2 linked regions of the Kluyveromyces lactis genome follow. The protein of the gene in region 1 interacts with the protein of each later gene in a pairwise test. Links are inferred from orthologs where the notes say so. Each region holds a gene or a part of one and is shown in the gene's direction. Other genes may lie near its edges.

The links. The genes of interacting proteins can lie anywhere in the genome.
Region 2: the proteins of MUB1 (region 1) and RPN4 interact in binary tests that used the Saccharomyces cerevisiae proteins (3 or more experiments, as listed by UniProt). The link is inferred for Kluyveromyces lactis from reciprocal best matches to the Saccharomyces cerevisiae genes MUB1 and RPN4.

What each region holds. Positions count from the first base shown.
Region 1 is NC_006038.1:1,122,590-1,127,706, forward strand, and holds MUB1 (MYND-type zinc finger protein MUB1), read left to right. Parts: upstream 1-2,076; coding exon 2,077-3,954; downstream 3,955-5,117. Other genes in the region: SRT1 (ditrans,polycis-polyprenyl diphosphate synthase), read left to right, coding at 1-893; VPH2 (Vph2p), read right to left, coding at 992-1,609; CLD1 (carboxylic ester hydrolase), read left to right, coding at 4,386-5,117. UniProt on the Saccharomyces cerevisiae protein: Involved in the determination of the onset of polarized growth. Required for the ubiquitin-dependent degradation of RPN4. Cooperates with UBR2 to transfer ubiquitin from RAD6 to RPN4.
Region 2 is NC_006039.1:371,962-376,652, reverse strand, and holds RPN4 (stress-regulated transcription factor RPN4), read left to right. Parts: upstream 1-2,205; coding exon 2,206-3,900; downstream 3,901-4,691. Other genes in the region: KLLA0_C04125g (glycosyltransferase family 32 protein), read right to left, coding at 1-945; phosphoglycerate mutase family protein GPM3, read right to left, coding at 4,173-4,691. UniProt on the Saccharomyces cerevisiae protein: Acts as a transcriptional activator of a number of genes encoding proteasomal subunits. Binds to a PACE (proteasome-associated control element) DNA sequence 5'-GGTGGCAAA-3'.

The sequences.
Region 1 (5,117 bases):
CATGGCTACAAATGTTCATGGTAAGGATCCTCAGGATGGGTCCTGTTCCCAGACACTTGTCGTTTATCATGGATGGGAACCGCCGTTATGCAAAGAAATTGGATCAACCTGTGAAAGAGGGTCATAGAGCCGGAGGCGCAACATTAATAGACATCTTACATATCTGCAGAAGGTTGAATGTGAGTAGTGTGAGTGCATATGCGTTCTCCATTGAGAACTTCAATAGATCTCCTCAGGAAGTCGCGACTCTCATGGAACTCTTGGGATATTATATCGATCAGTTTACTGAACGTGCAACAAATGCTAAGGATGAGTTGTACGGAATTAGACTAAGAGTCGTAGGAGATCTTTCATTATTGAGTGAAGAGTTGCTCAAGAAGATTCGTAACGCAGAGAAATTGACTCGTGATGGACAAGAGTTCGTGTTGTACCTTGCCTTGCCCTACACATCGCGTAACGATATTGCACATTCTATGCAGGTTACCACCGACAAATGCATCAATTCTAACGAGGATATCACAGAACAAGCCTTGACTGATAACATGTATTTCGAACAGTACTCCAATAAATGTGATCTATTGATTAGAACAAGTGGACACACAAGGTTGTCAGATTATATGCTATGGCAGGTCCATGAAGGTAGTATTATCGAGTTTGTCGACTGTCTATGGCCAGATTTTAATTTCTGGAGGCTATATTGGATAATGTTGAAGTGGAGTTTCTACCAAACTTGGCAAAACGCCAGTCAGTTGCCAGATCCTGTTCGTACTAGAACTCGCGTGTTTCCAAAAATATCTGGAGCTCTACCGATTGAAACTTTGAAAAGAACTAAACGTGTTGCACTAGACTCTTTACCTGCCGCACCATTGGCCGTTTCCGTTGACCGGAAATGAAATCAGAATTTATTTTCCCCCATACCTCTGGCTATCCATATTACACTTTTACTTGCCCTCTTCATACTGACTGTATAACCGAAATTAAAGTCTCTTTCTTACACTAACCTTTTCACCACTTTCCTAGTAACTTTCTTCTTACGTTCGGTGGTTCTCGCCTCTTCAATCTTCCTGTTATAAACGTTGTACATTGCCACATCTGCTGTTAACACTAGAAGGCCACTGAATAGACAGAGCAATACCCTGACGTGAATATCCCATCCTGTTCTGGTCACGTACCAAACAGCGTAGATGGTTCCGAACACTGTCAATAATACATTGACTACTGCCGATACCTGCTCCTTAATCTCTTTGTTAATCTGTGCAATTGAGGGTTCCTTGTCAGCTGTTGAGCCGGCCAGATGCAATGAATCTCGCTTGAGCATCTCTTGGTACTCTTTCTCCTGTTGCAGTGCCTTCAGATTTTCCAACTCAGCTTTGAATGACTCAGAGTATCCCTCACCAGGAACTCTTTTCTCCTTGTATCGAAGTTTCCCACTCTTCAATAGCTGTTTCATACTTACGGTGGCATCATCCCTCCAGAACTGTTGGTACAATTCCGATAGAAGCTCAAATGATATGCTATTTTGTTGTAAACTTAACGATGCCCGATGATCTTCTTTCAACTTTTCAAGTCTTTGTCTTAAGAGCCCCTCGTCGATGGTAATGTCAAACATATGTAGAATTGTCTTATTGCTAGCCTTGCAGTAGATACAGACCCTAGTAGATAACTTCGTTTGCTATTTCATTCATAATTTCTCAAAGTTCCATTCTTCTTTCATTAGCACTAAACCTTTAAATTAATTATCTTTAACTGAGATGTTTTTGTTGATATTTGTCTATGCAATGGCAAATACAATATATGCACTGGATAAGAAAGAAACCATCACGAAATTAGTTGCTGCTACTGTACTGTTGATAGATAGATCGGCTAGTAAGTGATCGTGCTACTTGTACTATTTCAGTGTCTTTTGTTTCCTTTCAACTTCTCAGAGCTGATTATTATACCGATAAAAGGATTTAATCTGACACAAGCAAAGTAAACCATTGATAGAAGCCTGTATTAAGGGTGGCGATAAATACCTACTTCCAGATAATATAATCATATCTGGTGTGCATTAGCTGGAATTACGGTTTTTAAAGAATGCGAGAGACCAATTACAGATCGGTGACTGGTAATCGTGCTACCGTTAGTATATCTCAGACCGTTTACGATAGAAGAGCTTTGGATAATGTTTCTGATTTACCATTAATTAATTCATTGAACCATCTGGCGTTCCTATGCTCCACGTCGACCCTGATAAGAGAGGCAATGTCTCGTGACGGTGCGTTGGAGCGGTTGGTATCAATTTTACACGAATGTTATATCCCTATAACGAATTTGCCACAGGTTATGGTATCTTCGGCACAGAATCAATCCAATCCATTACAAACGGTCAAGAGAGACAGACATCTGGCATATTTATCATGGAAATGGACGTTGGCTTATCAGTGTTTGGTATTGACTGGTACGAGAGGTACACTTGGTATAAGAGAGCAAGTGGTGAAGTCCGGCATAATTCCGATTATTGCTACTGTATTGGATAACTATATGATCTATTGTAAGAATTTCGATTTCATCAACAATACGGCCATTCCCTTTACGTTTAGTGAACTAGCAGATTTGGATTCGGATCTATTCCAGTTTACGGACGATGAATTGAGGAAATCAAATGAGAAAGTGGATCCCAAGGACTCTTACTATAAGGATTTCATATCGATGGAAAGGTTGAAATTGTTATTGGGACCCACCGAGAACCAATTTGAATTTGACTTGGAGAATGTAGCTGGCCTACATTTGAAACCTAACTTTATTACAGAATTGGATACAGATTGGCAAAGTCTTGCTCAAGAAGAGTTATGTGTACCTTTACCGGGCTCTGCACTGGAAAATGTCATAATCTTGCCACCAAGAAGATTCTTTTTGGGTAAAGTGATTCCAGAGCTAGATGATGTTACATGGGCTGTACAACTTCTGGCATTCTTGACTAAAAACACTGCGGTGAAGCCAATACTACAGAATACAAATCTCGTCGGTACACTTTCGTTCAGGCCGATTCTTGAGAATGCAAAGATCAGAATGTCAAAAAATATGGAATTGGACATGACACCCCTAACGTTGCACGTTGCCGGCGAAGAAGAAGCGGATGATGAAGACGACGATGAATACGACGAAGAAACTGATGAACCTCCGGAGGATAAGATGGACCTTTCACCAGACCTCACTTTAATAGAAAAATACTTCAAAGAGATTGAGCATCTTTGCCTTGTGAAAGACACCGAAGAGGATGAAGAATATAACAACAACAATGTCGATATATTTGATTTCAGGTTGAGGAAGGAGGAGTCGTTACATGATAAATTCAAGGAATATTGCCAGCAGCATGAATTCTCGAAAGAATTGACCGATGATGACTGGGATAAGATTTTCAATAGTGACACAATGAACCTATTCGCCCTTGTAGAAAGGTTTACCGTCAAGGGCTCCTTAAACGAAATCGTGCACTACTGGAGCTCCGTGGTAATGAGAAACTCGTGCAGGAAACATGAGGCTACAGGAGTCAGGCAGTGTGCTAATTTCAGCTGTGGGAAATGGGAAGATCATCCAAAACAGTTCCCCAAATGTAGAAGGTGTAAGCGCACCAAATATTGCTCAAGACTGTGCCAACTGAAATCATGGGAATTTCATAGGTACTGGTGTCAAGAATCAAACTCAACAAACACCACTGGAAATAGTACAGGAGTTCAAACGCCTACCAGAGACGCTTCTGAATCAGACACGGATCCAGAACATCAGAATACCCATCATCACCACCATCATCATCAACCGCAACAACAAAACCCAACAGAAGCTACAACAATCCCTCCAACTACTCCTTCCACAACAGGCTTTGGAGATACGATCATCCCAACACCAAATACAACCACTGAGCGGTACCGAACACCAGGTGATACCGATCATCACCTTAGCGAGGACACCTAAAGATCTTTACGGTCACGTGTCTACTCATGATAACGTAATGGTCGGGTAACACCATTTCCCTCTTCAGCATCGCATGGTTTTTGCGAATTTGTTGGGATGTTGAGAAATCGGAAAGGCTCAACATACGTAAAAGTAAGAGAAGAGCAGTTGGTTTACGAATAGATGGTCATGAGATGACTTTATTGTTTTGAAATATAAGGTGTTGTTCAGGAGCCAGTGAAGATACATTTGGTGTTTTTTTCTTTTCACTAAGAACGCACTTTTGAAAGTTCCTGTTCAGGTTCACGGTTTTTTTATGTGATTTTTCTTCATAGTGGTGAAAGAGTTATAGCTCAATTGATCTGGAGACGATCGTTTGTTACAAGCTTTACCTTATAATTAAAAGTTTTACTAGAATCCGTTTACTTTGTTGTGCGATCAAGCGTTAAAACATGTCTAGCCAGTCTTCTTCTTCCCAGCTTTGGAGGTTAGCAAGACGCTACAGAGAAGTCATTGGGGTGTTCAATAAACTACAAAGAGAGCATGTAGGCGTCACTGCTGGTACTGGTAATGTAGGTTCCACGAATAAGAAATCTGTTCGTGTTAATACAGTACGTAAATCTACTGCTCCTATTGGTCTTCCCCTGCTTCAGATTGTTACTAATCTGCATAAGTTGTTCCCATTATCTTTCGCAGAGTCTCTTAAAGATTATAAACAATACAATATCAATAAAGAACAATTCCAAGAGGATTTATTATCAGTGTTACCGTACTATCCTGAGCCATCTGCGAGGTTTTCTTCCAAAATCATCAAGACTCCTATAGATGCTGCTGGTAATTACATTAACGAATTTCAAATCACACCGATACGGCCAGAAAGTGATGGAAAACCATTGAAACATATAATCTTGGTTCATGGGTATGGTGCTGGTTTAGGTTTTTACTTGAAAAACTTTAATGCGTTGCTATCAGAAAACGTGGTGGTACATGCCATCGATTTACCTGGTTATGGCTTCTCTTCGCGACCAATGTTCCCATTCCATTATCCAAAGGATTCGTATCTTGCGGTAGAAGACTACTTCCATGATGCCTTGCACAAATGGTTCGATAAAAAAGGACTTATATCATGTTGGGAAAATAATTACGTGATTGCACATTCGATGGGTGCATACATATTCTCGCTT
Region 2 (4,691 bases), on another chromosome or scaffold:
CCACTGGTTAATAGTTCGGAAAAAGCTATCTGTGAATGAGGCCGGACCAGTCCATTCTATGATACCCTCATACCAATTAGCAGAATCCTTCGACATGTTATAGGCAGGTTGAACGTCGAAAAGGTTCTTGTAACCCATTGGGAAAGTCAATACGTTGGTGGATGGATCATAGTAATACAATGCAAGATCAGCTATCTTTGCAACGACATCTACAAACAATGGATGACCTGGTCTACTCGCTAAAGTCCATTGACATAGGTTTATCCTTCTATTGAAAAGGCCTCTCCAAGTACCAAGATCCCGTTCTTCCTCTATACCAATTATGACACCGACATCAGTCTTGGAGAGATCATTTTCAGCCATCAATGTGGCCAACGGACCATCTGTAAGCCAAGCGTCTATGTTAACAGAAGGTGAAGTATCTATATCGCTGTAATATCCACCTTTCGCCAATAAAACGAGGTATCTAAAATAATCAGCTTTCAAGATCTTTCTCGGCAACGTATCCCAGGTCTGAATAATTTCTGGGAACAGCTTAAATTGGGTACGTACGAATTCATCGATTTCATCATCATCGAGGAAATGGTAATTGAATCCAGATTGGGATGACCAAAGCCTCACGTTTTCCTGGAACCTAACATCAAGATTCTGTTTTGATTTCCAAGATTGCCAGATATCTCTTGGAATCTCATTTTGAGAATTGAAATGTGCCAACAGCCGATGCCTCAGTGATCCTGTGGACCAATCTGCCGGTACAGTTGGTGTATTGACGGATTTATCCCTATTCTGGAATGCGGGAATGTTATGGAATAGGATCCAAAATAGGTAAATTGAAACAATGGACAACAATAAGCATGAGCGGGGTCTAAGGTGTTTCATGGGTAGATGAGAGGACAAGAAAGTCAGGTCAACTGGCCTTGGAACATTCTTTTCTTTTTCCTGCATCTCGTTTGTTTTTGTTTCACATTCCTATTGTCTTTAGTTTAAGTTTTACATTTCCTTAGCCTTGGGAATTTGATACACCACAGATCATAAAGATTAGAGAACAAAGGCCATTACCCATCTGAGGGGGAGGGGGGGGTATACTTTCTACCAAAACTACGTAAGTATGGAGTAACATATTCCAAAGCGTACCTACAAAATAGCAGTCGTATTAGAAGAACAAACGATATTACAAATTGAATATCCAGAACCAATAATATCAGAGAGTACTTTAATGCAGAATCAAAAGTAACTTTCAGTCTTGAATCTTGTCTAACAGATAAAGATAAGTACCTCGTCTAATCTAATTGTATAAACCGGAAATACAACTTAGAACTAAGTTAGATAACAACATACCATTAGCACTCATGCATAATTTAGATTATAAAAGAGTGCTAATGGTATGTCTGGCGACGCCTGAAACATTCCGACGGATCATCACGTGCGTAACACGTGACACAATTGTTTTTTTCTTGGCAGGGTAGTCGCATTAGCGGTAGAACAATCTAGAAAGAAAAAGAAAATGGCAAGCTACCAAATGTTACCCGGAAACAGATAGGGAAAGCCTCACCCCGCCTCCATTAAACGCCGGATTCAGCTTAGGAATTACGTGTTGACAAATACATACGAAACGACAGATCGCCTCAATTACCCAACAAACTGACTTATCAGTTGCATGCTGAGGTAGATTGTCATATACTATAGAGAGAGTCTCTATCACTCCATGGAAATACTGCTACTAAATCCATTGAGTTGAAAGCAGTATCGGGTGCTTGTGCACCCGATACTCTAACCTTTATCTTGCTTTGCTCTTGCTCTTAGTGCTTCCATTTGTCATACGAATGTCTCACAGTGACAATTGTCATTTTTTTCAATTTTGTATCTTTCTTTTCATCGTGTTTTACAGTTCTTCATCCTCTAGAAACAGAAATAGAAATATAAAAGAGCCAAACGAGTTTTCGATATATATATATATCATATTGGTTGGTATAGAGGTACATGAAGCAAGCACGAGCGGATTCTGTACTTTGAAATAAGGAGGTAAGGTATTTAGCTCTCTGTACACCGAAGGCCCTCGTAATTAAAGAACCAGGGATTTGTTCGGGAAAGAATACTGGAAACGGCCTTTCGTTACATTTTTAAGGAAGTAAGCTAATAAGCTCTATTATAAATTAGTAATTGGAGCAAATAAAAAAAGAGACAGACAGAGAGAGGAAACAGACCATGTCAGCTGCAGATTTGGAATTGAGAAGGACTTTGACGGATGTGGTTGATGACGAGTTGAGGATCCACAATACGAACCCGATGTCTTTAGATATGGGGTTCGGTGAAACGCACTACGATTCGTTTCCGCAACTCACGAGGTCACAGGTGCATTCATTCTATACCGGGCCCAATTTTTCGTCGGGACACTCGCAACACCAGTATAATATGGGCCAGCTCATGGGTCATGATCTGCATTTGTCTGATGATGATACTGCAAGTGGGGTGTTCAACAAGTACGCTGATCCCAATTTGACCACTTTAGATAAGAAAAGCGGATGTGCTGTACCTGCCACTGGTCCTGGTCCAACCGCAACTACGGGCCCAGCTGCCATTGTGAAACAGGTTAATTTGAATTTAACTCCAGTGCAGCCAACGATTTCACTTAATACGATTACTCCAAATCCTTTCTTACAGTCTTCGGCAAGATTCCCAAATGCCCAACAGATTCCTCAGAATAATCCAAACAACCACCATAATGGTATGTCGAATGGAAGGTTGAACAGCGTCCGTGGGTTTAACTTCCAAACGAGAATTAACAACGAAAACGGATTCGAAGATGAGTTTTTGAATGAGGGTTATGGTGATTTCAATAACATGTACGAAGAGGATGAGAAATTGACCGCTCAGGCTACGTTATGGGATGACCAAAACATGGCGGGGTATTATTGGACAAATGATCAGGATACCCTGTCTCGTTTTGACCAAGAATTCAACTTCGATGATGATCTTTCGGATGAAGAAGAAGAAGAAGAAGAGGAGGAGGAGAGGGAGTATGAGGAAAATGCAGACGGAGGAAAAAACAACACAGAATTAACAGACAAGATTCTGAATGACTTACAGGACGATTTCTCTGACAGTGAGGAGGTTTCTACCAAATCGAATGAGGAGTCGTTATACATGGATACCCAACAACGATTGAACGAAAACCAACAGAGGGATTTATCGCAGGTAACTGTTCCTCGCATAGAGTCAATCAAGAGTTCTGTACTCGAAGAAAATGAAAAATTAGAAGAAGAAGAGGAAGAAGGTGATGATGAGGGTGACGCTATGTTCAGCGAGGACGATGAGGATCCTTTATACGAACCTGCTCTGGTGAGTCCCAGAAGAAAACCAAGTATGGTTATATCTCAACAGAATTCTAACAAACAAAGACAACTTCTCACCATAAATACTCGGAAATCGCATGAGGTCAGTGATAATAAACTGGATCCAAAATCAACGAACACGACAGGGTCTCGTACCATGACTAGAAATAGAGGTAATCATCAACGTGGTAAATCTGTGGATGCCCTACTAAGCGTCGACCGTTCGTATGGATCCTCAAATACACACACACACATTCATCATTCCCACAACCAGAACGATGAGCATATCTGCATGGTGAACAACCCAGTCACTAACGAACCATGTATGAAGAAGTTTTCAAGACCGTATGATTTAATCAGACACCAAAAAACTATCCATGCTTCTAAGAAGAAAATATTCAGGTGTTTGATCTGCATTCAAGAACTGGGATCTGAAGGCTATCAGAGAACCTTTTCGAGAAATGATGCCCTAAGTAGGCATGTTAAAGTCAAGCATAATCTACAAGGTACCGAAGCACAGCGTGTGATACAATACGCAAAGGACAACGTTGAATATCAGAACTCTTAACTGTAAGGGTATTTAGTTTGGCGAATTGGTTTTTTTCTCTCTACGTTTCTTCGACTTGATCGGAGTTCTGCTCATATATGTAATTCTGTAAATACACCTTGATATATATATTTGCTATAGAGTACTCAATATCGGATGGTATACTATATTTTCTCTGTTCTCAACTCATTTTTTTCTTGCCACAGGAGAATGTACCCCAATTCGATGTCTATAGAAATTATTGATTAACATAGAAAGTTTATAATGTGTGCCGTTGACTTGTATCTATATATTTATTCCTTGAATCCTTCCTGGCGAACTAATTCTGCATTGACTTTGGCACTTTCTGGGTCTAAGTAGAATTTTCTAATAAATCTGAAATTATCATCTAGTTCAATGACTGAAGGAATGGCATTAGGAATATTGACTTCCTTAATGTCAGTATCGCTAATGCCTTCTAAAATCTTTAAGAGTGAACGGACTGTGCTTCCATGACCGACTATAAGGCTGTCACCACGTTCCTTCAAGTTCGGAAGAATCATATTTTCAAGCAATGGTTTCAATCTTTGAACGACATCGCACAAAGACTCACCATTGGGCAATTCATCATGAGTAATCTCTTCCTCCAAATATTTAACATGCCTGTTTGGTTCTTTAAATTCATATCCTGTATCACCTTGGTCGAAATCTTGTACCATCTCCCTGTTTAAATCTGCTTTTGGAGGTTTTCCGAGGTAATCTCTTCTGATATACATATACTGTTCTTCACCATACTCTTCCAACATTTTATGTTTACTTTGACCCTGCCATGA